Drosophila melanogaster: one gene and its partners. The protein of the gene in region 1 interacts with the protein of each later gene in a biochemical or structural test. Each region holds a gene or a part of one and is shown in the gene's direction. Other genes may lie near its edges.

The links.
Region 2: of the proteins of Cdc42 (region 1) and RhoGAP100F, one has a biochemical effect on the other in vitro, tested with the Drosophila melanogaster proteins (one study listed by BioGRID).
Region 3: of the proteins of Cdc42 (region 1) and WASp, one has a biochemical effect on the other in vitro, tested with the Drosophila melanogaster proteins (one study listed by BioGRID).
Region 4: of the proteins of Cdc42 (region 1) and GEFmeso, one has a biochemical effect on the other in vitro, tested with the Drosophila melanogaster proteins (one study listed by BioGRID).

The regions. Positions count from the first base shown.
Region 1 is NC_004354.4:19,693,365-19,701,514, forward strand, and holds Cdc42 (cell division cycle 42), read left to right. Parts: upstream 1-3,726; 5' UTR 3,727-3,788; exon of another isoform or gene 3,789-3,861; intron 3,862-4,570; 5' UTR 4,571-4,593; coding exon 4,594-4,881; intron 4,882-4,942; coding exon 4,943-5,230; 3' UTR 5,231-6,574; downstream 6,575-8,150. Other genes in the region: CG14229 (uncharacterized protein), read right to left, coding at 1,203-1,500, 1,565-1,587; Tcs4 (Threonyl-carbamoyl synthesis 4), read right to left, coding at 7,080-8,124. UniProt on the Drosophila melanogaster protein: Regulates mbt kinase activity and is also required to recruit mbt to adherens junctions. Together with mbt and Frl, regulates photoreceptor cell morphogenesis. Together with Frl, has a role in the neuronal development of mushroom bodies.
Region 2 is NT_033777.3:31,810,819-31,818,441, forward strand, and holds the start of RhoGAP100F (Rho GTPase activating protein at 100F), read left to right. Parts: upstream 1-1,790; 5' UTR 1,791-3,008; intron 3,009-7,000; 5' UTR 7,001-7,213; coding exon 7,214-7,300; intron 7,301-7,623. Other genes in the region: FeCH (ferrochelatase), read right to left, coding at 1-122, 182-503, 559-660, 923-1,301, 1,356-1,392. UniProt on the Drosophila melanogaster protein: GTPase activator for the Rho-type GTPases by converting them to an inactive GDP-bound state. Promotes the anchoring of Liprin-alpha clusters at synapses. Recruits and keeps Nrx-1 levels high in active zones in the presynapse opposite the postsynaptic region.
Region 3 is NT_033777.3:28,827,399-28,835,230, reverse strand, and holds the start of WASp (WASp), read left to right. Parts: upstream 1-3,206; 5' UTR 3,207-3,413; intron 3,414-3,917; exon of another isoform or gene 3,918-4,012; intron 4,013-4,090; exon of another isoform or gene 4,091-4,237; intron 4,238-4,553; 5' UTR 4,554-4,612; coding exon 4,613-4,729; intron 4,730-7,832. Other genes in the region: Apc (APC-like), read left to right, coding at 1-1,996.
Region 4 is NT_033778.4:18,607,811-18,615,296, reverse strand, and holds the start of GEFmeso (guanine nucleotide exchange factor in mesoderm), read left to right. Parts: upstream 1-3,519; 5' UTR 3,520-4,564; coding exon 4,565-4,616; intron 4,617-7,486. Other genes in the region: CG5323 (uncharacterized protein), read right to left, coding at 50-136; mRpS28 (mitochondrial ribosomal protein S28), read left to right, coding at 354-632, 694-815, 873-1,056; CG10927 (uncharacterized protein), read right to left, coding at 1,088-2,170; CG42697 (uncharacterized protein), read left to right, coding at 2,602-2,814, 2,871-3,006, 3,219-3,289.

The DNA.
Region 1 (8,150 bases):
TGGCGTGGAAGCTGATTGAGGGTCGGCAGAAGGGTCTCCACATCGACCAAGTACGAGAATAGGCAACTTACTCGATTGTTTGCACCGCGAATCGCAATTGTACGACAAATTCCCGATATGCGCGACATAAACATAGACAGTGTGACCAGCCGTTAGATGCAGAAAAATCAGCTTTGGCAGACGCCTTGTATATTTAGTAGGGTGATTCCATTTCAATTTTATGGAGGAATCATAATGCTTAAATTAATCCATCTCAAACGACATAAAGCATTGAAATGTCAATATATGCACATGAAAACATATTAAATACCTTAAAAATATATTAACTTTCCATTTTCCAAAAGTTTTCAAAAACTGGCAAAACAGTGGTAGTCCAAATACCAAAATATACCGCAATATGTTTTTTCAAATTGTACACTCATTTTTAGTTATACGAATTTTTGAATGCTGCGAAATAGATTTGATCAGCTATTTGATGAAAGATGAATTAACTAAAATAACACAGTGCTATATAGAGTTGCCACCCTGTCAATGGTCACGAATTGGGAAAATGAAGTCCTTGAGCGCAATATTTGTTTTAAAGATTTGTCTAAGGATGAGATGTATTACTATGTAAATGTTTATTGGACGTATTCTTGTATTGCAGGTCCATGCTTAAATTCTCGGAATAAGCAAAATGACCATGTCAGCAGATGCGTATATAAACAATGAATAAGTCCAGCTTTCGTTTTATCAGGTCCCTGTAGCTTATTTTCCATCTCCACCGACTCAGCAATGAACTTGTACCCCCCTGGATATCGTATTTCATCGAAATAGGAAAATATAAAGATATGGAGGTTTTCTTACATTATTCTTAGAATAAATTATACATGCAGGATTATAAATACATATTGAAGGGATGGTAACCGATGAACATAGTTTATATATATTCATGTGCGTGTTTGGGGGACTCTTAGCTCAATTTATACTACTATTATTATGTGTATGCATCAGGGGTGATGCTAATGCCATGCAAGTAAACAATGCTTATCACACAAACGCAAGTGACTCCAGACACGGATATCCGAATCCGTGCGCAGAGAAGACTGAACGGAGGCGAATTACTTTGAACCTAGAGAGAGTGTTGCTGCAGATAACTCGTGTTGGCACTTAAATGGCTGTGCCAGGACTTGGACTCGCACACCGGAATCCATGATCACTAGCTACTGGCTGCTCCGCTTGATGCGCTCGACATGCAGGTCGTACAGCATCTTGTTCTTCTCGTAGTAAAATGGGTTTTGTTCGGCTCCCAGTTCTGGGTTGTATTCGTATCCGGCCGCCACACCGTTTCCGGCTGCATCGGACCCGCCGGATCCACCAGTCGCTCCTCCTCCCGACAGTGGCGGAATGCTGCAGCTGCTGCTGCTGCTGCTGTTCCCATCCTCGTAGTTCAGATTCAGGTTGTTGATGCGCTTCGAAAGGGGCGACTCGCAGGCCAGTTCATCCTCCCGGCTGCGCTTTCTGTGGAGGAATGGTGTGCGTTTGATTAGCGCTGGGACCTCACTACCTTGGTCAAGGTGATTACCTTGTCTTCAGGAATCCAGCCATTCCGATCCCGGGGCCAGTGCAGTGTGTTGGTTTCGGTTCCTATTGGTCAATTGTTTTGTCCTGCCCCGTTTCACAGCAGCGACATCCACCAGTGTGACTGCCTCGAAGTTCGAAATTGGCTGTGGGATATACCAATGGGTTGTGCTAAATATACCGCTAATCGAGGTTTGTTTTTTCTTAAATGGAAATCACAAATAGCCAACCCAAACAGCAGATATTGTTAAGAAAACCGAGATTATATTGTATCCAAACAAATAGAATATTTTTGGGAGGGAGGGATAAAGTGAATCTAAAAGTTGTCTCAGTGACAAATAGCGCCAAGTGAGAATATTTTATACCCAACAATTACTTCACGATGACACGATGAATACAGCTGCGGTTAAAATAATAACACTACTGCAGGTGGAAAGTTGATTTACCAAAAAAAATAATTAAATGTTTTATTTTTTTAAGTCAGATTGCATGAATAATAAGAACCATATGTTGTCTCTCTGAGCAAGAAATTTTTACTCTCTCAATGTAACGGTTCTTTTTGTTTTTGGGCACTTGCTGTGGTAACAAAAATAGCACCGATCACGTATTTGCTGAATACAATTAATAGGAGTGATTGCTTTGGGTTTTTTTTTCGACAAATTTTGAAAAAAGGAGTTGCAATAAAGGTTTTAATTGAATTTTTTCCAAACGAAGACAAAAAATTCTCTAGTCATGGGTCGCGGAAAGCATTGTACCGTCGAAAAAAGAAATTTGATTAAAAACATGATTTCTGAACGTAAAACCTACGCTGAAATTGGTCGCATTGTCGGTTGTTCAAACAAAATGATCCGCAAAGCACTGCTGTTTGTCGAAAAGAAGGAAACACGGCGAAGAGAGCCCTCAATGTCCAACGTGGAGATCAAGCGCTTGGTTTGGCAAAGCAAGAAGGAGTCTTTTAAGCCGGCGACGGAACTGAAGAAGGAGCTTCAGATAGCTGCAAGCGTGGAAACAGTTCGCAAACGCTTAAGACAAAACAACCTTAATGCGTGCAGCCCCAAAAAAGTACCGCTTTTGACTGTGAAGCATGTGGCAAAGCGAATCGAATATGCCAAGATACACAAGGACTGGCCTATGGAGAAGTGGTGCAACATTTTGTGGTCAGATGAGATCAAAATTGTGTTGTTTGGTGGGAAAGGCTCTCGGTCTTATGTTCGGCGTCCACCACGACGTCCACCACTAAATATAATCCTCGCTTCACCTTTAAGTCGGTAAAAAACGGGGGATCAAGCATCATGGTATGGGCGTGCTTTTCATGGTATGGAGTAGTTCCAATCCATTGGATTCAAAGCATCATGGATCAGCACATTTACTGTCATATGCCGAGGATGAAATGCCGTTGGTTTGGACATTTCAACAGGATAACGACCCAAAACACACGAGCAAGAAAGCTCAAAGTGGTTTGAGCAGAAGTAGATCCGAGTAATGAAATGGCCTGCTCAGTCACCCGACTTGAATCCAATCGAAAACCTTTGGGCGGACGTGAAAAAAGGGTTTCTGAAGCCAGACCCAATAATAACGAGGAATTTTGGGGTGTGGTCAAGGATTCAGGAAGCAAAATTCCTCAAAAACAGTGCCAGGACTTGGTGGAGTCCATGCCAAGACGATGTCCAGCTGTCATTACCAGCATAGGTCACGCAACCAAATATTAAGATTCTTTAAACATAGTTTTTAAGATATAATCCGTTTGTTTAAATTTTTTTAAAAATTTTTTAAAAAATTTTTTTATTTAGTTTTGGCAAACTACAAGAAACAGTGCTATTTTTGTTACCGCCTAAATTTGAAGGTTTTTTTTTGTTTTACCAATTATTTTATCCATTAGATCTGTTACTAATTTTTTTATTTCGATTGAAAATCATTGTAGTATTTAAGTTTAGTGAGTAAAATGATGAAAAAGTGTCAGAAAATACAGAAACACTGGGACAAACACGAAATCCGCTTATTATTGTTACCGCAACTGTATGCAGTATATTGGTCCCGCTCTGCCCGATCGGTCGGATATATAGCCCTTACAGTGACAGAGAACTTCCACCGAAAATACCAACATACCGATTGCGATGCAAGCCGGGTGGGAGTACTGCGACGGGATGGCAACGCCGCGCTAGTCACTCGCACGCAAAGAGCTCGCTGGAGAGAGAGAACGCTAACACAAAAGGAAATAGTAGTTTTCCGTACGTATCGAGCCCAGCCCAGAAAAGCGGAAAACTAAACGGATTCGACAGCGGTTGCAAATTTTAAATAACTGTAAGTAAGGCGGAAAAGGTGCCCGCAACGAGCATCCGCCGTATAGATCGCAACGCGTTTCAATTTGCCCAGTGAAAAGTGAATGAAAACCAAATGTCGATGACGGGCCTGCCTGCCTGTGTGTGTGTGTCATATGTGCGTGTGGTCCGTGCCGCAGTGTGCGTGTGTGATAAATAATTGCTTCCAAATTTCTTTAGTTTTTTGTCTGCAAATCTCGTCTAAAATCCGACTATAGCTAAAAACAGGGGGCAGCTCCAGCAGCTGACTGGGCGGCCAGTCCCGTGACCAAATAAACCATCATAAAGCCAGTAATAGTGCAGCAAAAACTGCATTAGACCAAGTGAACACGCACCGCACACACACAACCGCAAGCTGCCGTACTCGCTGCGCCCCTGCGCGCAAGTGTTTGCGTGTATGTGTGTCCAATCAGAATTTTCTGATGCCCGTCCGGCTTATCTGTGTGCGCCGTTGCTTTCCATTCTTTCCGTTCTTTCTTCGGCTTGAGTCATCGCTCATTCTGCCCAGATATGTACATATGTACATTGCACACACACTGCCGCCCCGCTCTCCTGGGCTCCGCTCCTCCTCGTTGATAAGGCGCCGCTGGCGAACGGTCACTCTGGCAGGAGTACGAGCAGGAGCAGGGAAGCCGCACCCACTAGTCATCCCCCCAGTGTAATCCGGCAAACTAACCCCCACTAATCCGCAGGAGTCATCACCCCTCTGCACAACATGCAAACCATCAAGTGCGTGGTCGTCGGCGACGGAGCCGTGGGTAAGACATGCCTGCTCATCTCGTATACAACCAACAAGTTCCCGTCGGAGTACGTGCCCACGGTGTTCGACAACTATGCGGTCACTGTGATGATCGGCGGTGAGCCCTACACACTGGGCCTGTTCGATACGGCCGGACAGGAGGACTACGATCGGCTGCGTCCGCTCTCCTATCCGCAGACGGATGTCTTCCTTGTCTGCTTTTCGGTGGTCAGTCCCAGTTCCTTCGAGAACGTCAAGGAGAAGGTACGTACAAGACTATTCTACGCCATGGCGAGACTGTAAGTGAGTCATTTTGCATTTGCAGTGGGTGCCCGAGATTACACACCATTGCCAAAAGACGCCGTTCCTGCTGGTGGGCACACAGATTGATTTGCGCGACGAGAACAGCACGCTGGAGAAGCTGGCCAAGAACAAGCAGAAGCCCATCACCATGGAGCAGGGCGAGAAGCTGGCCAAGGAGCTGAAGGCCGTCAAGTACGTGGAGTGCTCGGCCTTGACACAGAAGGGCCTGAAAAATGTATTCGACGAGGCCATCCTGGCCGCCCTCGAGCCACCAGAGCCCACAAAGAAAAGGAAGTGCAAATTCTTATAATTCTGCTTTCCTCACACGCGGTATCCCTTTCATTCTGGCTTTCTACTATCGCAATGACTCCTTCCCAGCCTCCCGTCGTCGAGAAGCATTCAATATATAGCCGTATATATATATATATAACATATATATATATATATGTATATATATTGGTCTTGATTTACGTTATTCTGCATTAGCCCAGTACTCCATGAGCTATTTCTCCTCGCCGCCATCCGCCTGTGTCCCCACTCCCACTCTACTCTTTTTGTCTCACACACCGTCTGTGTCTCCACTTACGCGCGTCCGCGTATCTGTGTCAGTAGTGTCCGTGCTCCAGCCTCCAGAGCTCTAATCCCTACCCGGTATTTTGGTCGGTTTCTATGTTTGGTCCACTGTGACCAGGCGGCTGGGCAGTTGCCCCCAACTCGGGACAGTCTTCCGCCCCACAAGCTTCAGCTCCAATCCCCGCCAGGATCCAATCGCAGCCAATCGAATCGAAACCCAGCCGACTTCATTTCTGCTCCCAAACATGTTTTTGGCGCAATTTTCGAATTAAGTAAAAAGAGGAACCACAATATCAATATAGCGAAAACAAATGATTTATATATAAATATATATATATATATATGTATATATATATATATTTCTTTATATATATATACAAAGATTAAGGAGAGGCAAAAAAAAAAAAAATATACATTTACGATAAACAAAAAAACAATCCAGAACAGAACAGAATGTGGGGCGATTCGAAAAGAACCATGCACTTATTCGTTTTGCCTCAGTCGATGAAATCCGCGGGAATCCACGTCGATATTGTCCCGAAAGGAGCAACGTGCGAGAATTATATTAAATATTTATGATAACTGATCGCGTAATGTTTAAACAGCGGAGGTCGGATGGAATTCGCTAGCATGCAGATATGAAAGTGAAGCTTATTATGTAATAAAACTAAGCGTATGAGTATTGAAATATGATTAAAAGTAAATTAAATGAACCTAAAGGAGGAGATAAAGGATCAGCAAGAGATGCGAGAACCGAACTAGGCGTTGCAACCACAACACAAACACACATCTGAAATCTACAATCTATATAAAAGTATATACATATATATATATATATTTAAATATGTATAATCCATAAAGTATAACAAACAATAAAACAACGGCAACAGCAACAAACATTTGTATTGTAGTTCAGCAAAAAAACAAAAACGACAAAAGATGAAAGGAAAATAAGAACTAATGCATTTTTTAATATTTTTATATGTACACATTATCAATTTTTACATTTTTTTTCTAGACCTTAGTGATTTAACATTATTGATTTCAGATAATATCTTATAATAAAACGAAATCCAAAACGAAACCACTCACTGTCTTGCCTGAAATGAAAAAAAAAAAGGGAACATCCCACCAAAGATGCACAAGCGAAAATGTACTTTTTATATGTATAAAATTACATAAATTCAATGCAATTGTGATTTTTATATAGCATTTGTGATTCATTTGTGGTTGTTTATTTCTATATCGATTCGCGTGATAAAGACCTGTCGTCATATCAGTTATTACGTTCCTGGAAAAGTGGCCAACAGGTGGAGGCAAAGCTTTTCCATTACTATAAACTATATTTTGATTATCTGGCCATGTCCTATTGTTCGTCAGCATAAACGTCGAGATCTCGGAAGCCACCAGAGCTAGCAAGGTGGCTCTTAGCAAGTAGGAACTCTGCAGCGCCAAAGAACTCACACACTCAAAAATATTATGAATATATTATTAATTTGTAAATCAGACAAACAGGATTCAACAACGAACAAGGATTCATCTGTAACTTTATGTAAGAATGTATAAAACACAACAGGGGCTAGTGATCAAACCAGTGGCTGTATCCACTTGCATTTTATGGCCGCCGCAGCGACAGCTTCCTCGTGCGACTCGGCGAATCCCGCGCTGCCCTGGATATCAATGCTGTCGTAGTCGTAGCGCGTGCTGGCCTCTTTATCCTGCAGCAGTTGCTCAACGCCGTGCCAGGCGATCATGACGCCGTTGTCGGAGCAGTACCGCTTCGATGGACGGAAGCTCCTGCAGCCATACTGCGCGGCCAGATGTTCGATGTTGGCGTATATGGCATCGTTGTTGGCCACACCGCCGGACATGACCAGTGTGGGCGGGGTGTCACCGAAGAGCTGCCTGTGCGGCAGGAGGCAGTACTCAATTGCCCGCTGCGTGCGGTGCATCAGGTGCCGGCTGACAGAGCGCAGCAGGCCGGCGCAGAAGTCGCCGTAGTTGCTGATGACTCCGTCCGGAGGTGTCCGCTCTGCCCGCTCGCGCGCTCGGATGGCCCGGAAGGAGTTGTTCTTGATGCCGGCGAAGCTGAAGTTGCAGTTCCGCTGCTGGGCAAGTGGCAGCGGAAACTCGTAGGCCAGCGGATCGCTGGCCAGCTGGGCGGCATGCTCAATGGCCCGTCCTCCGTTCCACAAGCGGTACTCCGGCAGAATGTGCAGGCGTAGTCGCCGACCGATCTTGTCAAAGGCCTCGCCGGGCGCATCATCCAGTGTTTGGCCAAGAAGCGTAAGGCGACCGGGGCCGTTAGCCACCACCAACTGACAGTGGCCGCCGCTGGCCAGCAAGCAGAGGAAGGGGTAGCCGATCTGCTCCGGATGTTCCATGCGGGCCTGCAGCGCGTGCGCCTCCATGTGGTGAACGGGCAGCAGGGGCTTCTGCAGGCGACGGGCCAGGTGCCGTGCAAAGCGCACGCCCACCAGCAAACTCAGCGGCAGTCCGGGACGCGTGGTCACCGCGATGGCCGTCAGTTGGTCCGGCTTCAATTGCGCCGCCTCCATGCAGCGCTGGTAGGCGGACTCGATGCGGGCGCGGTGAAGGTCCTGGGCCCTGGGCGGAATAATGCCTCCATAGCTGCAATCGATTCAGTTCATCATTGG
Region 2 (7,623 bases), on another chromosome or scaffold:
CCTACCTCCTTGGCCAGTTCGTCGCAGTACTCGATGTCGAGCTCATGCAGCGTCTCGATGTGCTCGTTCACGAAGGCAATGGGCACAAGGATGAAGTTCTTCAGGCCTTGCTTAACATAGCCCTGTAAAGATGGGATTGGTTTTAGTGGATGGGAATGGAAATCCGGCATTAAAGTTACACCTTAATGGCATCATCAGTTGCGGGCGCCAGCCAGGGTAGCGGGCCCACCTTGGATTGCCATGCCAGGCTGTAGGGATTCGTCTGACCAAGTTCCTGCATCACCATGTGTACGCTAGCACCAATCTCCGAGGGATACGCGTCACCCCGGTTCACAGCCTTAAGGGGAAGGGAGTGGGCAGTGAAGAGGATGACCACATCATTTCGTTTCGTTTCCACAAATTTGGCCAGCTCGTCGCGAATTCGCTGGGCAAACGTTTTGATTAGAAGTGGATGAGTGCCCCACCTGTCGATAATGCTCCATTTGATATCCGAGGGCAGATTACTAAAGAGGTAGAGGGGATCAAATAAATAGCTGCAATTGTGCATTTCTAACTCACTTGCTCCGATAATGAGTAAATATGGAGTTAAAGCTGGATCCGGAGGTGGCGCAGCTGTACTGTGGATATTGTGAAAAGAGTACAACGCGCTCTGGTTTGTCCCTGTAAATATGTTAAAATATTAACATGTATTCTTTAAGTAGCGCAAATGACCATAATTTCCAGGTTTAGGTTTCAGTAATTTGTCCAAGAAGTCAACTGATAATAGCAGGACATTGAAACATGCATAAGAAGTCAGAAGTCTATACAAACTTATTTACTAGAACATATCTTATTGTGAGAGTCCGTAGCAATATATATAGGTCAATTTCACGACCTTCGGATTATTTACATCACTCTTGTTCTACTTCTCGACTACACTCACTTTTCGATCTCGGCCAGCGTGTTCTCAGTGAGGGGATTCACGTAGCGGAAACCGACGTAGTGCTTGTGAGGTGCTGTCTCCGGGGAGATTCTGTCCAACTGCTCGCACATGAGCTGGCCCTGCAGCTCGGTCCACTTAAGAATCGGTGAACCACCGCCGATCTCCTTGTACTTCTTCTGTACCTCGGGCGTCCTGCGCTGGGCGATCCACGGACCAAGACGGCTCTGCACCGGCAGCTGGATCATGTCCCGGTCGGTCATAATACGCAGGAGGTAGTCATGCACCTGGTCCGTGTGGGTCGGACCGCCCATGTTCAGCATTAGGATCGCGGTCTTCGGTTTTTGGCCGCTCAGGTTGCGCACTCCTCCTGCCAGACCACCTGTTGGGGAATATGTAGGAATGTCGTGGGAACTGTATCCACTCGTATACTCACTTGCCAGTCTGCAAAACTTTGTGTTATGCAAAAACATAGTTCCTTTTAAATTGACCCAAATTGATGGCACCGGTGTCGAATAGTGTTACCAGTTGCTAAAATAGTTTAAATACCAAAATGTATGATCTCACAGATTCTAGAGTTTTTCCAAACGTAACAGAGTTCTGTAAAAAGTAACCGTCACGCCATCTATGTGTGTAAAATAGCTGCCAACTATTACTCAACAGTAATCTAAATATTTAAAAATTTTTCCTTTTGTTACACATTTACCATTTAATTTCTCTTTATTGAAACCGAAACCAATATTTGGTATATACTGTTCTTCAAGCGACCAACAGAAATTTTTCGCGCATGCGTCCTTATTTCTTTCCCTTGTCATCAACGCTGCGTGCAACGGTAAAAGCTGACTGTGGTGCAGTCTCGCTCTTGCACGCTGCATTTCGCTCTCGTCGCTTGCTGCGAGTGTTTCGTTTCCTCCGATCAAATAATATTTTGTAGTTTTTCCACCGAATGCAGGCACAATTGCTTCGTAAAAACGCAATAAAAGGCGCGGCCCATGGTCCGAAAAGATAAGAAAGCTTGAAAAACAACCGAAAGTGTCGTTTAACATCGGAGAAAAGCAAAAGGACAAGCGGCGCAGCACAGTGAAAAAAACGTAGGAAGTTTTGGAGTGAGTGAGAGGGAAGGAGTTCCACCGCGGTGGTGGGTGTACGTGCGCGAGTATTGGTGATGTGTCCATGTCCGTGTTATCGCCACCAGCATTAAAGTGCTCCAATTCGTGGCGCACGCGCAGAATAACTAGCGCTCTCTTGCTCTCTTTCTCGACTTAGAAGAGGAACAGGATATTTTATTATACTGAAATTCCTACTCAGGAAATTCGCATAGTTGCGAAAGCTTCGCGCTGCCACACGGACGCATTCCGCTACGGGTTCCCCGCACCACCCACACACTCTCACACCCGCCTGCCGCGAGCCCACACACCGCGCCCGCAAGCACTCTCGCGCACAGATCAATGAAAAGGCCAAAAAATAAATTGCACCTTTTCCGGGAACCAAAAACATGTTGAAATTATCTCACAAGTTACGCAAAAAATGCCGCAGCAAAAAAGTTGCATGGGATGCCGTGAATGCGACGAAAGTGTGAAACGAAACGAAAGGCAACGAAAGACGGTGCAGAAAGGAGCAAAGAGAGGCTGCAAGGATGTACTGCTTCTCAAAATCCCAAGCCATTGACCACCGAATCAGCGATAAGTCTCTAACAACAAAAACCTGCACCTAGCCAATTGCATTTTGCATTCGCATTCTTACTGCCCCGGAAGTAAAAGCAGCTTCAGCGGAAATTAAAACCAATCAAAGCCGAAATAAAAGGTAACGCTAGCGAGCGAAAGAGATAGACATTTTTAGAGAAAAAGAGAGAGCAAGAGAGAGCTACCATAGAGAGCAAGTGCATCCTTTTCACAACGCGGCACACATTTACGACCGGTGACTGCAACTAGCCCACTCCCATACCTCCGCCCCTCTTCAACCCGACCCCAGTTGTCCCTTGCAATTTGTGATCTCACGTTTTCATAACTTGGGCAGTAGCCGTTGGCACGGATTAGACGCAAAACGTCAAGCATTAGGACGTCAGGAGAAACGCAGTTCCACAGTGCAGGTGAGTTTTCAACAAAGGGACCTATCCAGGAAACTCACTGGCGGCTATGCATTTAGTTAATTAAAAAACTATTTGAAGGGTGAAAAGTCCATCATAGGAAATGACCTTGTCGCTATCAAATTCGGCTGTGCTTGATAAGGCTCCCACAACTCGAATAAGCGATCATTTGTGGCAAGTGTGATTATGCGCAATTTTCTGTTAAAACAAATCCTGTTTCCAGAACTTCTAATGCTTTGTTGGTTAGCGTTATTTTGCCTTTTACTAAAAACCTTTTGAAAGAAAAGGAAACGTCTTCTGATAGGCTATCATCATTCATTGTAGTCATTGGAGGTGGAGGTTCCAATTTAATCGTAAGAAAACATGGCATATCGTCAAATCAATTCGAGCAAATGTAATATAAGCGGTGTCTATTCCAGCAGCAAATTATTTCAAGATCTCCTCTATTACACACAAGAGATGAAGATCTAGGATATATACGACTAGGTGAGAGGAACAGAAAGCAAAACATTTACCGCGACATTAACAATCAAAAATCTTGTTTGGACGCTTTTTATGCTCAAAGCCCCCATAACTTTTTACACCCCGAATCGCCCCTTCAGTCCGCCAAACTACCCCCAAGCTAAAAGCTTTGCTCCAATTTACCAGCAAACAGAGAACTTTGTGTGGAGCCCCATACCATACAAATAATTTAAAAAAGCTGAGCCGCACAACTATCTTAATTTTATGTTAGAACTAAAGCCCCTTGTATAAAAAAAATGATAGCAAGCCTCTTACGGTAGCCAAAAATGGATTTCCATAGAGACCATTAAAATCGCTTGGTACTTTTTGTTGTATTAATTTACGTTGTTATTTATTAACTTATTTTAAGGCAGTATTGTTCACATATAGAAAATCTTTAAACAGAAAGTTATTTTTAAAATTGCATATTATTTTGTTTGGTCCTTATGTGTGTGGTATAAGCCGAGCTGTAATACAACATGTGGATGGCGACTTCCATTCTGTGCAGCCATAATTCCATCTTTTTGATTCTGCCCTCACTAATTAGATAAATTCACAGTTTCCCCGCAACTTTGCTAGTTTTTATGGTTTCGAGCATATTTTTGGCATTTTAATGCGACTTCTATCCGTCGTCCAAATGGCGAGTTGGGAGCTCCAAATTCGGAGTTGCGAGTTTCTAGTTGCGGGTTGCTGGTGGCATGTTGCACAGTCGTCAGGTGAGTCAGCTGAGCACCGGCAGAAAGGACCACATGGCGCGAAGCGACTGCACTGAAAATTGGGGTTTTACCATGCAGATAATGGGATCCGATCTGAAAAGTAAATGATCGTAATATCGGTTGTCAAGAGCTGCGAGTCAGTTGTGGGGCCTTTTCGCGTTACAATTATAAGCTGAGCCGATAAATATAACTTCTAAAAGAAAGAGTATCCTTTTTTTGCCTCAGTGGGTGTGCAGTCGCATGAGCGTGCGGCAAAGCCCAGTGGGTGTGGGTGGGATGGTGGGTTTGCGGGTTAGGGTCCGACGGTCCCCAGTGGTGGGTCTGTGTTTCTTCTTTCGATGTATATTCCTTTGTCGGGTGCTACTAACCAGTCAAAGTGTGGAAAAGGGACTCATGGGGATGTGGCGTTGTGGATAAACTTCAACGCAGCAATAACCATACCAAACCAAATAATGCCATGATGGGGTTACAACTGAGCCCAAAGAGGGAAATCGATAAATCTGCCTGTCGTCATTGTAGCACTGCCTCAAGTAAAAATAATTTTAAAGTTTAAAATTCATATCGATATCTTATTAAATTCGGTTTTCACTATTTATGACAATTTCGTAATATTTGGATTCTGATGTACTTGCTTGCTGCGGAAAGTCTCCGTTTTTTGCTATTTGATAAATTATTTGCTATTTTTGCCGCTGGAATGGAGTGCGGGCAAGCTTTGTCACTCATTTATGGACACACATAGCGAGCTCAATTTGTGATGTCATTATAATACATTTTATGCGTGCCTAGACAACATTCCCGGCGACTGGCGACTGGTAAAGTTGTTCTCGATGTGGTAATGGGTGTAGCTGCTGCTGTTGGTGAACACCCAGGCAACATCTTTCCTCGTGACGGCTGTTCTCTGTCGCTACTGCGACTGTGACACAAAGTATCTTGTATATACATGTTCCAGCTCATGCAGCTCCCCGCTTCCTAGAAAGGAATTATGAATAGACATTTTTCCGTTCCATACCTAGTACACCCGGAAGTGATGCTGTTTAAGCTCTGTGAGCAAAATATCTGGTTCTATCCACTAACATATATGTTAATTCCAGTATTGCTCGTTCAATGTATTTCCTATATTTCCTCTTTTTCGAAATTTCGGAGTACAATTTTAAGACTTTTATCGTCCGTAAGGATAGTCATTGACATCACTGGAACTAGCGTTGAAAACTGGCAAGGAAATCAGTTGTCAGTGACGCAGCTGGACCCCCTGACATGTTCGTGAGGACATAGCTCCACATTCTTCTTTGTACATTTGAATGTCCTGTGCACGATTGTAACATTTTTCATTGCAATTACTACGGCGGGAGCAACGGAGGAGGCGTTCGAGGAAGGCAAGCTGCTTTCTGGAAAAAAATCTGGAGTTGTGGCAATGTGCCATCCAAGGCTTTACTGGTTTCCTTTAATGTCGATGACAGTGATCATCCTGATGATGATGATGAATAATCTGACTGAGGATGGCATAGGGGCCACTCAATGTTAAGCCCTTGTGTGTTGATTGTTATTGGCTCCTGTTTTAGTATGAATGATATATATAAGTGTTCCTACAATTTTTTGTGTCCCTATCTCTTTTCCATTCTACTAAAACAAAACAGACACCATTTTTAATAAAAAACATAAGTTTACTATTGAGGGCAAAGGACTGTTACTTTGTTCACTTTACAGGAAGATATTAGAAAGGAATTAACCATGCCTTTATTATTTTGGTATAAGCCATTCCAGTCCTCAACAGGATCCGAAGGAAAATGTTCCTCACAAGGGCCTAGCAAAAAGCAAGTTCAGCTTCCTAACGAAAACTGGGCCAACACAATTAGCCCAAAGGCCAGGCTGGTCCGCTTCATTACCATAAATATACAGCTATGGGAATGAGCGCGCATTTTGCCAAGGATGTACCAGAACCAGAAGTGGCCCACATTCGCTAAAAAGCCCTCAATGCAAGAAATGTGTCCTTGGTTAGATGTAATTAATGTTTAAAACTTTAATATTAGCATTAATATAGGCATTTTTTTCTTTTGATTAAAAAGTGGAATATAGTTACATGTAAAAATTTGTAGCATACTTTTTTGGGAGATTACATGCGGTAGCGCACAGTGTCCCATCAATGTGGTCCCTCTGCTTTCTTCCCCTTCTTTTGGCACCCTCCTCCGCAGTCGCATTGCTTAGCAAACATTGTTTTATTTTTTATTTACGGAGGGCGTCCGCTAAGGATTGCAATATCAGCGCTATAAAATCAGAGACAGACATCTACCCGATATATGCATAATACGCAGGAGCAGTTGGGACGAGAACTGTCCAAGTGCTCGAATGCCTTGTCAGGCAAATGCATATGACACATGTCAGGCTCGTGGCTTCAGACCCGCGAACCCGCAAAGTGTAAAGCTTCATTAGGTTAGGCATTGCGAGACACACTGTCAGACACACCCAGCGATACAGTTAGGAATATTTGCGTTGGCTACTCGGGAACTAAGCATATATTTTCTAAAATTTTACATTATTTACAATTTATAATGAGTTATTGTCAAGATTTTCTCGATTGTCTATCCGGAAATTTTTGAATTGTTCACGCACAAGTATAATCTATAAATTACGGTCATTCGTGGCCCACTGTACCTCGAACCATGAGGCGTCCTAGTGGCGAGTAGATGTGCCAGCTTGTTGACAGTCATATTACAGTAAATACTTGTTTATGGCTCTGAGCTCGTTCTTTAACTCATTACTGCCTCCGCTTTCCGATTGCAGGAACACTCAACTCGCAACGAAACCCGGACTTGCATTTTTATATCGCATTTTTGTAAGGAACCAAAAGGACGGGTTCAGCATTGACCAAATGCCACAGCTACCAGCAAGCAAATACGGCAATTAACAGAAGTTGCCTTCAAACAAAACCCCACCCACGGCGAGAGGAAGGACAGGAACGAAGGAAGCTATTCCCAATCGGATCCCCACTAATAAATGCAGTGGAAGAAGAAGTTTACTCGATTGAAAGCAGCTACTGGAAATTCGCGTGTGCGAAGAATGCTTTGTTGTGGACGCAGAAAGGTGAGTAATAGAAGGATGTGCATATAAGCTTCAAAAGTTAACAGCAAATGTCCTTTCGATGCTGTTAACAATTAAACATATATGTATGGGTATTTCACTAGCGATACTTGTATGTATAGGAAGCGGAGTTCGAAGTTCCTCGATTGCGACTGCACTTAGTCCTCCCCTGAAGCGCCATAAGTGGGGAAATTGGCACAATCTGTCAGTCAAGTGGGGGAGCACCACGGTTCCCTTATCATCTTCGTGGCTGCCATAATAAATTTACAGTTTACGCCTGAATTTCAATGAAGACTTAATTGCAAAATCTGATTTATACTCTGCTG
Region 3 (7,832 bases), on another chromosome or scaffold:
AGGATCGTCTGGAGGTCTTAACTTCCAGTTGGGTGGGCAGGTGCAGAATGCTGGCGTTAGATTGGAGCCGCAAAGACTATTATTTAATGGAACTAGTGCCTCCATTATGACAAACTCGACCATGATTGCGTTCGAAGCGCGAGCTCTGGCGGAAAATCTACTCCAGCCCGCTGCCACTGACGATGACACCACGGAGATGACCTTCAGCTTGAACAGTTTGGATCTGGATAATATTCGTCCGCCGTCGGGAATGGAATCGCTGAACAGCTGCTACCAGGATCACTCCCAGCCTAGTTCTCTGCGCCAGGCGATGCCCAGCAAGAGTCCACGCTTCGCGCGAAAAATGTTTCCAGCCAATTTGGTAGCCAGACGAGCACTGGGTCACTTAGCTGGCAGTGCGGAGAGCGTGAACTCCAGCTGCAACCTGCTGGACAACATCAAGCCTCCGTCACTGATGGATGAGCTGCTGGACTCGATGATCAGTGTGGACAGCATTCAATCTGAGGTGGCCGATGGCGAGCAGGACTGCAGCATGGCCACCACCATTTCCGTGTCCAACTATGAGACGGCTGCTTGCGATGATCAGACGATGACCGTGCTCCAAAGTTGTTTCGACGAGGATGAGGATGCCACAATGAATGACTACAGCTCGGCCGAGTCCACACCCAAGCACGGATCTACTCCATCACCCAATCGTCGTTCCCTCACACCGAAAGACAAGCGACGTCTCACAAAGGATCGCTTCAAGACCTACACCATAGCCACCAGCTGCGAGATGGAAGCACCAGAGGCCAATGAAACTTTGCAGATAGAAATTGTGGAAGCTGCCGTTCCTGTGGCCACGCCATCGCCACGCGCCAATGGAAGGAGAAGGGGCAGTGCGGAGCGGTACAAGACCCAACTGATTGAATGTCCCCTGGCTTTGATACAACCCCAACCCGATGATTGCCCAAGCGAACAGCTCTCCTCAATTCGAGCAATGATGCAACAGTTCACTTTCATCACGGACATTAACATTGGACACAGTCAGGAGACTTGCGAGAGTACTGATCATCCAGAAGACGCAGGGGAATCCCCGGAGTGCGATCAGAACTCTGAGACGGAGTCGTGCGATGGTCAGGAACCGGATCAGCTGCCTCCTCCTCCGTCAATTGTGGACCTTAGAACATCAGTCGTTAAGCCCACAACCTTGGAGCCCGCCACGGCCGTAAAACTGGTGCGAGGTCGCAAGAAACCAGCCTATGTCTCACCCTACAGCATGCAAAGTCAACGGAATAGCAACAATGCCGCCCCGTCCAAGAAGAAAACCCTATCTCCAACAATTGCCAAACGAAGTCTGGTGCCCGGCGGTTCAGGAGTTAGGTTACCAGCGAAAAAGAAGCCGACGCCGCCGCCTGAGCCGGCACCCGCACGCTTGGAACGCCAGGGAACCTTTGTCAAGGACGAGCCCACTAACTCCAATGTTCAAGTGCCCGTGGTGGAGACAAAACCGGCTCAAACCAGTCCCACTCACCGCGCCTCGAAGTTACCCACAAAGAAAGGCACGGCCAGCGGTGGGTCACCATCGAAAGCGGGCTCTCCCAAGAGGATTCCCTTGGCGCCGGCCCGCCGAATGACGCCTCAAAGGGCAAACACCAGTCTGCGACTAGCTGCGGGCAAATCTCACGCTGCCTCACGTGTGGTCTCCGGCCGCGTGTCGTCCACTACTCCACCATCCCGCAGCAACTCCAACCTAAATGGAAGCAGTGCAGCCGCAGCAGCTGCGGCCAAGATCAACCATGCGCAAAGTCGTATCGCCAACATCTGGAAGAGAGTGGACGAGGCCAAAACCAAGCAATCGTCATCCAACCTGAGGACGCAGAAAACCAAATCTTCCAACATGCTCAACGCAAATGGAACCAAGCCGACGCTCCTGCGCAGCTCCACGTTTGACAATACCCCCAGCACCGCTGGAGGAGTCAAGTCCAAGCTGCCAGTGGTGGGCGCGCGGAAATAGAGGGTTAATTTGTTCAGGATAGTATGGATCACAAATTAGCCAAGTTAAAGCGAAAACGGAAGTGGAGATTGTAAGAGGAACAGGACTGTATTTGTCAAGCATTTTTTAGGAACCGAACACGCACAGGTCCACATCCACAAGCCGAGCTAGAGTCAGAGTCAAAATCAAAGAGTTTTTAGGATAGGAGTTAATATACATACGCTATGTAATCCATATTTTACTCTCCTTTTACTTTATACATTATACGTAGACCCTAAAACTTTGTAAGCAACCAGTTTAGCATAGAGTTAGCGCAAACTCCTAGTAACTTCAACTTATCCAAATCACAGTCAGAGAAGGAAGCTCCCGATGCTCCCGATCGTGTGTAGCCAAATGTATTGCATATATATACACAAAATCAGGCCTTTCAACATGTGTACAACTACCCAATATATACAAAATGTATACTGGCATATATATAAATGCTATATATTCGATTGTCGCATTAACTAGGAAAGGTTTACCAAGTCGAATGTCTGTTCTGATTTAACTTTTTTAACACTTAGTTAGATGAGCTGTCCTCCAACTGGTGAGCTACTGAAATCAATTACAATCATATAGTTGCACATCTTTATTGAGAATATACTCTAAGTTTAAAATATGCCCCTGGCTTCCTTATGCAAACACCAAATATCTGAAGAGAGAAGAAATTCACATTTTTTAGTCACTGCTTTTTAAGTATTCTTTTATATAATTTAGCAAGTTAAGGGTAACTGTTTTAGGAAACAGCTTATGCATTAAGCTCATCATTTGCGACTTAGTTTTTACCGATTCAATGCGATTAACCATTTTCAATATGAATAAATCGAAATATGCTTTTTGTCAGCAAAAAATTAAACCAATGTGAATTTACTCGATTATAATTTATATCAAAATAAAACATATTTTGAAAGCCAGATGAACAAATATTTATTCGAATTTACGGGCGTGGTAAACAAAATCAAATTTAACGGAAAAGATAACATAAATGAAAAAATATACTATTCCCACAGCTCTCCACTCGCGATTTCTTAACGGAATTGCCTGAAACTTTTTGATAAACTTTTAAGCGGAACTAGTGATGGGCAAAATTGAAAAGTCTCGAGCATGGTCTGCACAGGGCCTTGGCAGAGCTTGATGCATATTTTAGGAAATTATCGAAAGGATAGTATTTTTAGCCTATCGCCTTTTTCGGTCGGTCACACTGGCAGCAATTGAATTGGAGTGAAAAAAAATAAATGAATAAACAAACTAGCATTGCGTCCGGGAACAGACGAATAATCAACCGAGGAACACTCGTTTTCAACGCCATGCACTCGATGACGCGGACGCGCGCACAGTAGAGCCTCCCGATAAGAGTCCCGGAATCCGCAAGGCCAGAGACTACACAGATTTTGTGGTGTGTTGTGTTGTGTGTGGGAAAAAAACGAAAGAGTGAAGAGCAGTGCACGAAAATAAACGCAAAAAATCAATGGGCGACCCCCCCAGCAGAGCAGCTCACAAGGGAAATTCGAGACCTTGAGTAGGGCAGCACATCATCCCATCCCATCCAAGCCGAACCAACCCAACCCATGAACTTACTCCCAATCCGCAGCAGCGTCTGTCTATTTACATTTGCATTTTCACCCCACCTGGCGCGACGACGGACAGGTGTTGTCACAAATCTTGGAGCTACGGAGTGGCGCACAGTGGGGTGGATTGGCTGGTGGCTTGTGGCGAGTGCCGAATGTTGAGTAACCCAGACCACTGTGCATGTATCACACATAGATACATGCGCACACCTAATCAGTGCTTTTCGCCAAAGATAAGGGCTCTTTTCGAAGAGTTTGCCACTGGCCTGGCTTTTGCCCACATTCAAACGCAGCTGGCTGGCTTGCTGGCTGACTGTTTCTGTTTCTGCTTCTGATTTCCGACTCTCGGGCACCGTGACTCAGACCAGGCGATCCGCTCGCAGCCCCGCCGACACCATAACCAGCTACATCGTCATAGCCAGCGCAGGTCTCGGTCTCTCTCGCTCGCGCTCTTGGCCGTAATTCGGGCTGAAAACCATTCAAAACCGTAAAGACAATACTGTCAATCGATTCAGCAGTCCCAAAACCATAATTCTTCGATCCCAAATCGGGTTATTCGCAACACACTTCGGACTCCGTTGCTCAAACTCTCTGTAGATCGGAGTTTTTACAAGCTGTACACTGTACAAAAAAATAGGCAGCCTATCCAAGTGTAGTTATCTTTTTATATTCGAAGGCGTTGACTGCAATAATTCATTTAAACGTTAAATATTATACAGTTTCTGAACTCTTTAGTATATTTATGGGAGCTCAAACTTTTCATATTGTATCGTCAACCCTACGATCCCAAACTTTTGTTCACTCTATCGAAGTTCAACTGTTACTCCGTGTGCCTTTATTGTTATGAACTTTTTACTTTTTCGGGGTCCCCAGCGTTTTGTGATATTAAATTAATACATTTAGCTTTTGTTCATTTGCGTATTGTTTTCGCCACACAATAAAATGCGTATTGTGTCCGTATTGTGCAGGGAAACCAGCCCAGATCCCCATATCCAGCACCAGACCCAGATCCAACGAAACCGGCCAGATGAGCAGCGGAATGAGGTCGCAGGACGGTCCACGGGCGAAGGTCAATGCCGCCAGTACGCTGCTCACCCAGGAGGAGAATGAGGCCGTCTTCAAGCTGCTGGGCAAGAAGTGCCAGGTGAGTCGAGTACTGATGATGCATAATGCCCCCAATCGGGTGATTAATAATTAAGCAATGACATGGTTTGTGTTCCTCCGCCTTCGCCGAGCAAATCCCACGGCTTGATGAAGCACTTCCTGCGGCTCAAGTGTCGCCCATCGTGTGCGAATTTCACTCGAAGCACAGTAACCCTATATCATAATATCATTCTACGGTCTACGGGCAGCTGCCTGTCATATTTACCAAATTTCACTTGCACACTGCCCAACATAGTTGAATGGTTTCTTTGCCCATTTAAAGATGGCACCGGAAGCTAAACTGTGAACAAAATTAGAGTTCTATGCACTATAGTTAGTTGGTCAGCTATAAAACTTGCATGGGAGTATCGTACACATTATTAGCTTTGGTTTTGATTGAAAGACATACTCTTTTGCTGGAAAGTCTACTTGAGTCAGTGCAGATAACCATTTAGATTAATGTTCTCTGTACTATACAAAAAAAAAACAAGATGAATCATTGTTACACAGATGTTTTATGGTGCCCATACATACATATGTAGGTTACAACTTATTGGGCACTATTCTCGTATTAAATGCTCATTAAGAAATTAGGAGTATATAAGGAATAAATAATATTCATTCAGATCAGAGTCCGAATGTGCTGGCCAGTGTTACTAGAGCAATTTGTTAGACTTTGTTAACATTACTAATATTTACCTAGCATTTCTTAGAGCCTCTATCAGCAAACGGCTTGAGCCGGCATTGATAGGCCACAAGCGCAGTTGTTTGCACTTCTTGATTAGTTTTTTATTTCCAACTCTATTCCTTCGTAGTATTGGGGTGCCAAAGCCGATTGTGGTGCGAAACGAAAGAGAAACCATTAGTTTGGCCCATTGGGTCGTGATAAGAGTGGGGGTACATATAGTATTTGAGGCGAAATACAGACGAACCTTATCTTATCAATCCGCCCGCCCAATGCGAATCACCGGCCAATGCCAAGTGCGATAAGAATGCCCTGAAATTGGAGTGGAAACTTGGAATGTGGTCATTTAACGGCGGCCGTTGTGCGGATAATTATGGTGTGCACAACATGGGAAAATCGCTAATTTCGATTCGCAATTCACGCTTTGCTAATTCGCAACTTTCCATTGACAAAACATTTCCAAATGCATTTGAACTCTGCCAAAGTAATGCAACCAGTGGGCTGGTTAAGGCAGTTGGCCCCTTTTGAAGACACTCAGAAAGGCACTACCAATCCATTTCTCATATTTTTAGTCTCTGCTTTTGATTCACTGAAGCTACGGGTATTGGGCAAGTCAATGAAAACGTTCGGGGATTTGTAAATTATGTCATTAATCCCACATCTTTCGTTTGCCCTGCTCTGCTCTCTGAGATAAAGAAAGAGATTACCTGGTGGAAAATATTCAATCAATCACCAAACCATATCTTGTTTTCACCGTATCGAATGCTGCCCGTCTTTGTGCGATATCGTGTGATAACACACAAAGCTGCAGCTTAGCAAACCCGATGTTGTTATTGTGGTTTGGCAGTCGCTTGTCGCTTGTCGCAACTCTTGCTCGCATTTATTTGTATACACTTATTTAACGCATTTTTCTGCACAGGCCAAACTTTCTAATTGATGTTTATGTTTGGATAGTGTACACTTTGAGCCCCAGATTTTGCTCTCTGAATAATTAGCTAGCTTTGATTACTTTCGAAAGAATTTTAATAAACAAAGGAAGTAGCTGACTCATTTCTAGTATTTTTACGCATCTTTAAATAGCAATGACATTCTCTAAATACATTGCGATTAAAGTGGTATCTATAGATATCCGTATAAATGTTTATTTATAATCTGACATAATATGTTGGCCACAGGGCGTATGAGCATTTTACCGCTTGGCCCATTTGGGTTGACTTGTACCGCTAGGACCGCACCCATTCCCCGCTCCATCGAGCCACACGCTCGGTGGCAATGACCACTTTTTGCTGTCGCTTGTTTTCCATCGATTTTAATGCTTTTCAAAAGAAACACCAGCTTGTACGTAGAAGGCAAGACATCATTTTTACAATGCTACTTATGTCCGCTCACAGTTGGCGCGAGTAAAAAAAGCCAGAGCTAAGCATCAATAAAAATTCAAATGTGTTCACAATTTCGCACTTTGCCAGAGATACAAGCTGTGTGCTGTGCTGTGTTGCGCTGTGTTGTGTGGGCTGGAAAGCATCTTCCACATCCGAAGCTACATAAAATCCAGTGGCTCGTCAATGCCTCTTTCTCTTTTATTTGAGCCAAAGGTCAGCTGCAAATGCTTCTGCATGGCCATTGCCCATATCCACTAACCAACCATCCATCCACATCCATCCATCTCTAATGTGTCCATTAATTGATAATGCTGGATTGCTGTTCGGCTGCAGTGTTTCAATTGCCAGCACGTAACATTTTGGATCATCGCCCAGGGGCGGCAAGTTGAATCAATTAGCAACGATTCGGGTTGAGGGTCATTCTGTGGCCTCAGGCGAAAGCCAAATGTTAGGGCCACCAACTCACACACTCACTTTTGTCGAGCCTAAAAGAGGCTGGTGTGTCCTTGCACAAAGTTTCCGATAAATAAATAAGCGCTTGCCTTGACTTTTCTGGCGGCAGAGCTTCTTGCACATAATGGTTTTGGCAACTATTCTGCTGCGGCAATTTAGTGGTAGTGCAGGATGCACTTCTTGGAGTGTCGCCACCATTTCCTGTCTGGGTCATAAACAAAGTCCTCCGTCACACAAAAGACACAGAGAACAATTTGAATTTATACGTAGGTACTATCTATACATCTATCTTAGGGGAAACACAATTTCATTTTAAATCAATGGATGATACTTAATTTTTGCCTGTGCACATTATGGGTCTCCGTTGCACTGTTGCAGCAATATGCACTGATCCACGGAAAGTTCTCCACTAGACTAATGTCCACGGACTAGACTTAGGCCCTCCATCAACCGGGGATACGTGCTCCTCATGCCAAACGGCTGGATTGCCCATTCAACTACCAGTTGCAGTTGCTGCAAGAGCTGGCCAGGCTAATCGGTATTCAAAAGAGTCAACACTCACTGGGGGCCATCGACTCGACTTGATG
Region 4 (7,486 bases), on another chromosome or scaffold:
TGAAAAGCAAGTCAGTTTCGGGATATCCCCTAAAGCGAACTCCACTTACCTGCATTTTGCGCAGGTGCGTCTTGTCCATGTCGTCGATCATCTCCGTTACCGCGGCCTCGATTTTCTGGCGCTGTTGCTGGATCATTTTGCTTGTTTAATTGTTAATTACCTACGTCTTACAACCGATTTCGTAATATCAAAATAAATGCCGGCAGCGTGTTTTTTGTAATATTCGATTAGTGATGAGCCGACGCAGCTGCTAATAATCGATTAGCAGTCTATCGGTGCCGCTCTTCTTCTTTGGTTTTCCACTTGGTTTTGGTTTTCTTGTGGATATTTTTGAGCAATATTAAATTAAAACCATGTCGCTCTTGCAAAAACTAAGCAGATCTGGTGTACCGATGGCTTCATTAACCTGTCGTTCCCGAATGCCAATGGTCATTCGACTTATCAGCGGTAACACAGAAAAACCGGCGGAGGAATCTACTCCCGCAGTGAATACGGAAACGGCGGAGATTGGCAGCAGCAAGGGAGGATTCGCCCGTGCCTTCGACAAGTACACGGCACCAGCCACGCCTCCACAGCTGCCGGAAGACAACCAGACCTTCGCCTCCCTGCTGCGCAACTCCAAATTAATTGATGTGGGTACATTATTTAAGTAATCCCATTGTTTATGTAATAACTTGTTGATTTCTGGAGCAGCTGGACAACGCCGAGGGCAAGGTGGTCAGTGGCAAGATCTTTCATGTGGTGGGCGATGATCTCTACATAGACTTTGGTTGGAAGTTTCACTGCGTCTGCAGTCGTCCAACACGCAATGCCAGGTGAGTTCAATATAATTTCCTGTCTCTTTATCCAATAAACCGCCTTTCCTACTTCAGCGACTATGTGCGAGGAGCCCGTGTTCGACTGCGCATCAAGGACTTGGAGTTGTCCACCAAGTTTCTGGGTTCGTCCAAGGATATTACCATTCTAGAGGCAGATTGCCATTTGCTGGGTCTCCTGTCCACGCCCACCCGCCAGTCGACGGCCAAAACAACGCCGAAAATCGAAGATATCCTATAAATCCTTTATTAAAACCAAGGTTTGTTAAACGTTACGTCAAGTCTTCATCCTCCTTGGTTGTGAACTGGAACACTTCGTAGTGATGGTTGAGTTCCCGCACCGAATGCAGTTGGAATCTCGTGGCTAGAGCTCCGTTTTCAGAGTTCTTAACGAAAAATACTCTTTTCGCCCTGCTATGTACCAGGGCCATGGAGCACATAAGGCAGGGTTCCTGCAGCAGATAGATATCGTAGCCGGTGCACAGATAGGGTCCGAATTTGGCCAGGTTATCTGCTCCTTGAACTGCGTCCACTTCTTTGCATTCTCTCGACTTTTCCGCTCCGAATGTCAGGTCTTTGTAGTCTTCATTGTTCATCAGGTAATCGTAGTAGGCTTTAGGAATACCCCGCAGAGTGGTATCCTTCTTGAAATCTTCGGTGAATGTAACCTCCGTTTTTGTGGCGCCTCCTTCTTGACTGCGAGCCACAAAATCGACGAGCATCATGCAGCAGTGCTCGTGCGGCCTACAAACTTCACCAGTTCCAGCAATGGACACAATGCTGGGTTGTCGCGGATCCACGCAGATGCCCACCGGACGATTGGCATTGACATCCCGCGAGAGCCTCACAAGCAATTGCCCGATCCTTTTGTGAAATGTGCGTTGTGCGGAGCTAAAGTTGCTGCCATTCCTCAGTGACTCCGAGTAGTGATTAGGGTGAAACTTGCAGGGCCAGTGCTTAAGGGTCTTCTCGTACTGCACCCGCAGTCGGGGCATCCGTTCCGGCACCTCCACCACCCGGACTCCCTGGCACAAAGCACGGAGCACGTGCTCCGAAAAGGCAAACTGTTCAAGGTGTTGTTCCAGGCTTTGAGACACTCCGATCTCTGAGCTGGGACATATGAGCACGCTGCGATCCTGGACGCGCTTTAGGTGTTGAAAGTGGGGCAATTTCTGTGAGAGCTCCTGGATGACCGCCTGGAGCTGCTGTTTCGTCTCCAACTCGCAACTGTGCGCCTTGATGAGCGCAATATCCTCGTCGAACTCATCGGAGAGGATGGCCCGGATCCCAGTTATGTCTTCATCCAGATTGGGTGATTTTCGAGCACGTTTGTTTGGTGGCGCGGATATATCCATTATTTACTTAATTCTTCAATTAGAAGAATGCCAATTGGAATCGATTGAAATAGGTTATCGATAAGTGCCAAGCGCTGGCGTTGAAACAGCTGTTTGGATATTAAGCGCCAACTTTGAAAAATGTCTTCTATTTAAAATATGCATTTAAAAATAATTTAGTGAAAGATTATACGTTTAAAAGTCTTTAAAGCTATTTAGCTTGGGAGCTGTTTCAAATATTTCCTACTTTTGATATACATTCCCTAATACTTAATCTAATCAGCTCAATAATCTGATCAATTGTCTAATTTGCATTATAATTCCTTACAACCAATATCTTTTTTGATGTCTACATGTAAGCAGTGCCCAGTCTGATACCCAAAGTTTAAATTCAAAATTCCAGTGAAATATGTGCTTGTGATTTCTAGTCAAAACTTAGAGGAAACATCGAAATGTGTCTGCGCTTGTTTTGCGGCTATTTGTCGCTTTACATTGGCTGCATCTTCATCGGCTTCACGGGGATGCTTCTAGCTTTAATGGTCTTTTCTGTGGGTCTATTCGAGATGATCAAGGGCAATCCGGAAACAGTGCTTGTGGTCATGGCAATGGTCTTTGGCATTGTCCAAGCCCTAGCTAAAATTCTTCTTCTCCTCGGAACGATGTGGGTAAGTGAATACTTTTATCCTTAAATTTGTAAAGATATCCAATCGCTGTTCTACAGGACATGTGCTGGGCCATGCTCTTGTCCTTTTTTATAGGTATTGCGGCCCTGGGGCTCCTCATCGCACTTGTGGTGCTCTTCTACATCCTCTTGTGGGACCCTCTGCACCTCCTTCTGGGCGGTTTTCTTAGCATACGTAAGTTGGTGAAAAAATTTTGAATTTCTTTTGGATCTGAAAACAAAAGAAGATAGAGAAGTAGATTAATACATTAACTATCGAGAACTTCTTTCTATAACACACACACAACATATAACACAAACAAGCAACAAAACGTAGTGGACTTAAAAAGTACATAAATTCTATTCACGTTCGATTTTTAATTAAAATAATATTTTTCTCTTATCCAGTCGAGATGTACTACGAATGGGTCATCATTTCAACCTGGTGGTGCTGTCGATCATGCACCCACGACTGCTAGGAGTTGCAGTTGGTTCCACTTGTTGCATGCATAGAAGATACAAACATACCATGTTGGAGATCGAACGCCTTGGAATGAGCATACTATGCAACTCTCAGCGATCTTCGCATCGGATGTAATACTGTGAGCACCGAGAGAGAGAGAGAGAACTTGTATTCGAATCCCCCCATTATTTGTGTATGAGGTGACTTCGTGCTCGGGTCTTCCGACTTGAGTGTCTTTCAAGTAAGTCAGTTCACTCTGAGACGCGCGCTGGATATGTCGTTCCTGGAGCGCTCGAGCTGTTCCTGCGAATGAGCGTGTGTGTGCCAGTGTACCGCCCCCTACCCGTCAAGAAAAAAAAAAGGAAATAAAAATATCGGCAGGAAAAATATCAAAAATTATATCTGAAAATACACAAGTGTATCTGCAAGTGCAGTCGTATATGTGAGACGAGAGTGTTTTCCATTTGCCGCAATTAGAAGTAACGGTGCGAAGGTGATTTGCACGGGAGAAACTGGAAAATCAGCGAAGCGCGAGATACTTGTATCTGCAATTTGTGTGTTTTCGTTTTGTTTTCGGTTTCGCAAATAGCAAGTGAAGAGCCCATTACTTTAATTCAATCAACGATCGGTTGTTGTGTGGCCCGCTTTTGGAGAATCCCCACAATTTGTTCTAAGCCCAAATAAAAGTAATAAAATAAAAGCCCCAACCCCAGAGACAGAAGTCCGTGAGCCGGTTTAGTCATCCGAAAGTTCCGAGAACTGAGCGCAACATTGAGATACATTCGCGTATTCTCATTCCGAATCGCTGGACACCAGCTGTTGGCCACAATGCCTCCGTACCTGCTGGATATTTGCCTTACCTCGGAGCTTAGTAGACCGCGATAAGATATCGGCGACTAGTGGTGAATAAAGCCAGATACTCGTACTCGAAACTGCGAAAACGTCCATATACGACAAACAAACGGAAAAGAAAATCGCACAGTTCGGTGCCAGTGTTTAAAGTTAAATCGAGCGCTTATCTTATCGGCCAGCCATTGATTGAGCTTTGCCTTTCCGCTCTGCACCGGGTGAAGTCATTTGGCCACAATTCGCCCGTTTTAGATACTGTATCTGCGGCCATATCTAATGCAGCAGCCAAAGCAGTCGCGATAATAACGACCTCCTTCAGTGTCAGTTGCTCTGCAATCGCCGTCTAAATTTAGAGACAGATCAGGCGCGAGGGACCAGATCTGGCCAAAACCAAACCAGACGCACTCGGAAATCGTAAATCAAGCAGCCGGAGGAGACCAAGATGGACATAGAATCCGATTCGGACACCTCGGAGAGATGGGAGGACTTTTTTGGTAAGCGAACGGGATCACTGAACTTCTGCGTGCAGAAATGACATGACTCAGCGGGCTGGGGAGGTGCACTGAGGAAAAATCACGTATCAATCACAGATAGAGACTAGTAATATTGGTTTTCAGCATTTCAGACGACATTAGTCTACATTTTAATAATCCGTCATTGAAGGCATAAGAACATACAAAAGCTTAGGGTACTATATGTTTACAGTAGGATTATGAATAATATACATATGTCCCGATCTTATATTTCTTCCTGTGTGGGAGACACTACGCATTCTCCAAGAACTCCAAACTCCGAATATGGACTTGCGTACAAGAACAGACCATCAAGTTGGCTTTCTTTGGCTCGGCGGGTTGGGGGATGGTGATGGAATGGGGATTGCGGCTGGTGCTGGGACTGGGACTGGGGCCAATGCATTTGGTGGATCGACGGCACCGTTCCGTTCCCATAACTGTACAAAAAGTGGGGGGAAAATAAAATAACAACCCACTGAGTGGCATTGCGTGAATTGCGGTGTAACGGGTTCGCTTTGTTTTTGCATTCCGCTTTTGCGCAGTCCGAAATTTTTCGACATTATTTAAGCGCTCGAAAAGTCGGTTGTAATGAAATTTAATGATAATACATAATTTCGGGCCATTTTGACCCACATATTACCATACAAGTGTGGCCAAGAAAAGGTCTGTCTTCGGATTTGCAATTTATGTTTTGGGTGGCTCCATTCGGTTTGCTGACCCACTTAATTCGTAACGCCGATTTGCTTGTAACTTTGTGGCACATGCTGCATATTTGTTTTTCTTCTCACCGAAAGCTTTCGTTCAATTAAGTGCATTAGTCATAAGTCTTGACACTGCGTTTCTTTTGTTGACTTTCTTTATTATTATTGCACGCCCGCTAACAGCGGATGTTAGATAACGCCGCCCTTAGCGCAACAGCGCTGTAAGTAGCTCTGTTAGTTAACCCATGTTAGGCCAAAGAAGGTTTCCAAACTTATAATAATCAATAGTAATATGTATATGTAATAAGTAATATGTATTATCATACTAATTGCAAGTAACTCTATTAAAACTGTAAAACTGAATTTAAGCAATCTTTTGGCCAACACAATTCCAAACCAAATGTGTGAAGAGAGAGAGAGAGAATAACTAATTTAGTTAAGTACCTTCAAAAAACTGCCCGAAGAAAATAGTTTAAAACGGGTTAAGATGGTGCGTCAATTATTGATAACGGACACTGCGAATTCAGCAAGTGGCCTTTGTTATATCAATTATATACACATACATGAGTAGGGCGAATGAATCATGTATAGGTGATGGGGGGGTGTTGCGGCATTTATGGGTTTGTTCTGCTGATCCCACCAGCTTAGACATAGACGATTGTGCAAGTGGTTGACATTTGGCGGGGTCAGCAAACGTGACGCCATCTGTCGGCCGCATGTCCAGGATATTACCGATCGCATCGACCTATAAATAGAACCCGCCGAATGATATCGCCAGCAGTTGACCGCATGCACTATCAAATGTCACCAGTTCGTCTTCTTTTGCCCTTTCCGTCACCGTGTTTGTTTGCCTCTTCAACAACAGAGTCAACTTCAATTCCAGACAAACAAACAAAACGGGGGAATAAGAAATTTTCATCTGTGGACACAAGTGCATGAGCGCAAGGGGGCAGGGTGCCAGGTCAAGTCGTTGAATTACCACTCGTAACCACAAACACCACGGGAGTCTGTTCATTCGATATTGTTAAAGATTGTGATCTGAGGAAACCTTTTTGGGCCCTGCGGTTCGCCATCGATTCTCTTGTGACATTTATTTGGCTGGCCTGGCTTTCATATTTGGTTTATTCAATAAATACTAATAGATATCGATGGTAGTAGGGCTAAGGCGTTGATAAGATTTCGCCGCATGTATTTATTGACTTTTTGATAAAGCCGACAAGGCCAGCAGTCACAGACCTGTTCGTACATTTTTGTGGCATGTGCGTGGCGGCCAATCGAAATACCCAAAAAGTTAAAGGGGTCAGTTTTGCAGTGCTCCACTTCCGCTGGCGCGGGGCCTAAGGTCCCAATTAAGGCAATTGACAAAGTTCATCTAATTAACCGCTGCCATAGAGTTCGGTTTCATAATCGTCGGGTTCATTGGCCAATTGGATGTTAATGACATTACCTCACCCAGTCACTGTTGTCGTAGTTTGCAGGAAATGCCCAAGTCAAGTGTTGGGAACAGAACTATCAGTAGTTGAAACTTTCTCAAAAAAAGTGACACATTTGTAATCTAGTTGTGGTATTTTGATCAGTTTGCACGTTCTTGAGGTAGAAAATACATTTGGGAATCCCACTTTAACCAACAAATGGAGCCAAGTTGGCACCACTGAGACGGGGCTATAAGTCTTGCCCCCTAATTGCCTGCATCCAGACTCTGGGATTTTGGAGTTGGAGTTGAAGCTGCCGTCATATCCGAGAACCAGACCAGACCTGAAGTGATCTGTGTGTGGGCCGGCAGTCGGCGTTTGTCTGACGTCTGACGACGTTTGTGGACGTCCTCTCAGCACCCAGCACCACGACGGTTCTCTAATTGCATTTCTCTCAGTGCAACGGCTTTTGTTGTGGGCGTTGCAGAAGGTCGTAAAACTCGAGTATTGTGCACGCACGTCCCAAAAGGTTTTTCTCAATGAAGTTTGAAGAGTCTGTCTAGTCATATACCCTTACCAAAATGGGCATTAGGAAGTTGTAAACTTTATAGACTGAATAAATTTTTTCAATTAAAAGTTCTAATTAATAGTAATCAGCACATAAAAGATAATGGATTTCTTGTTTGCATAAAAGTGCACATGTAATGCGTTTCAATTAACCATATAATGAAGCTTTTAT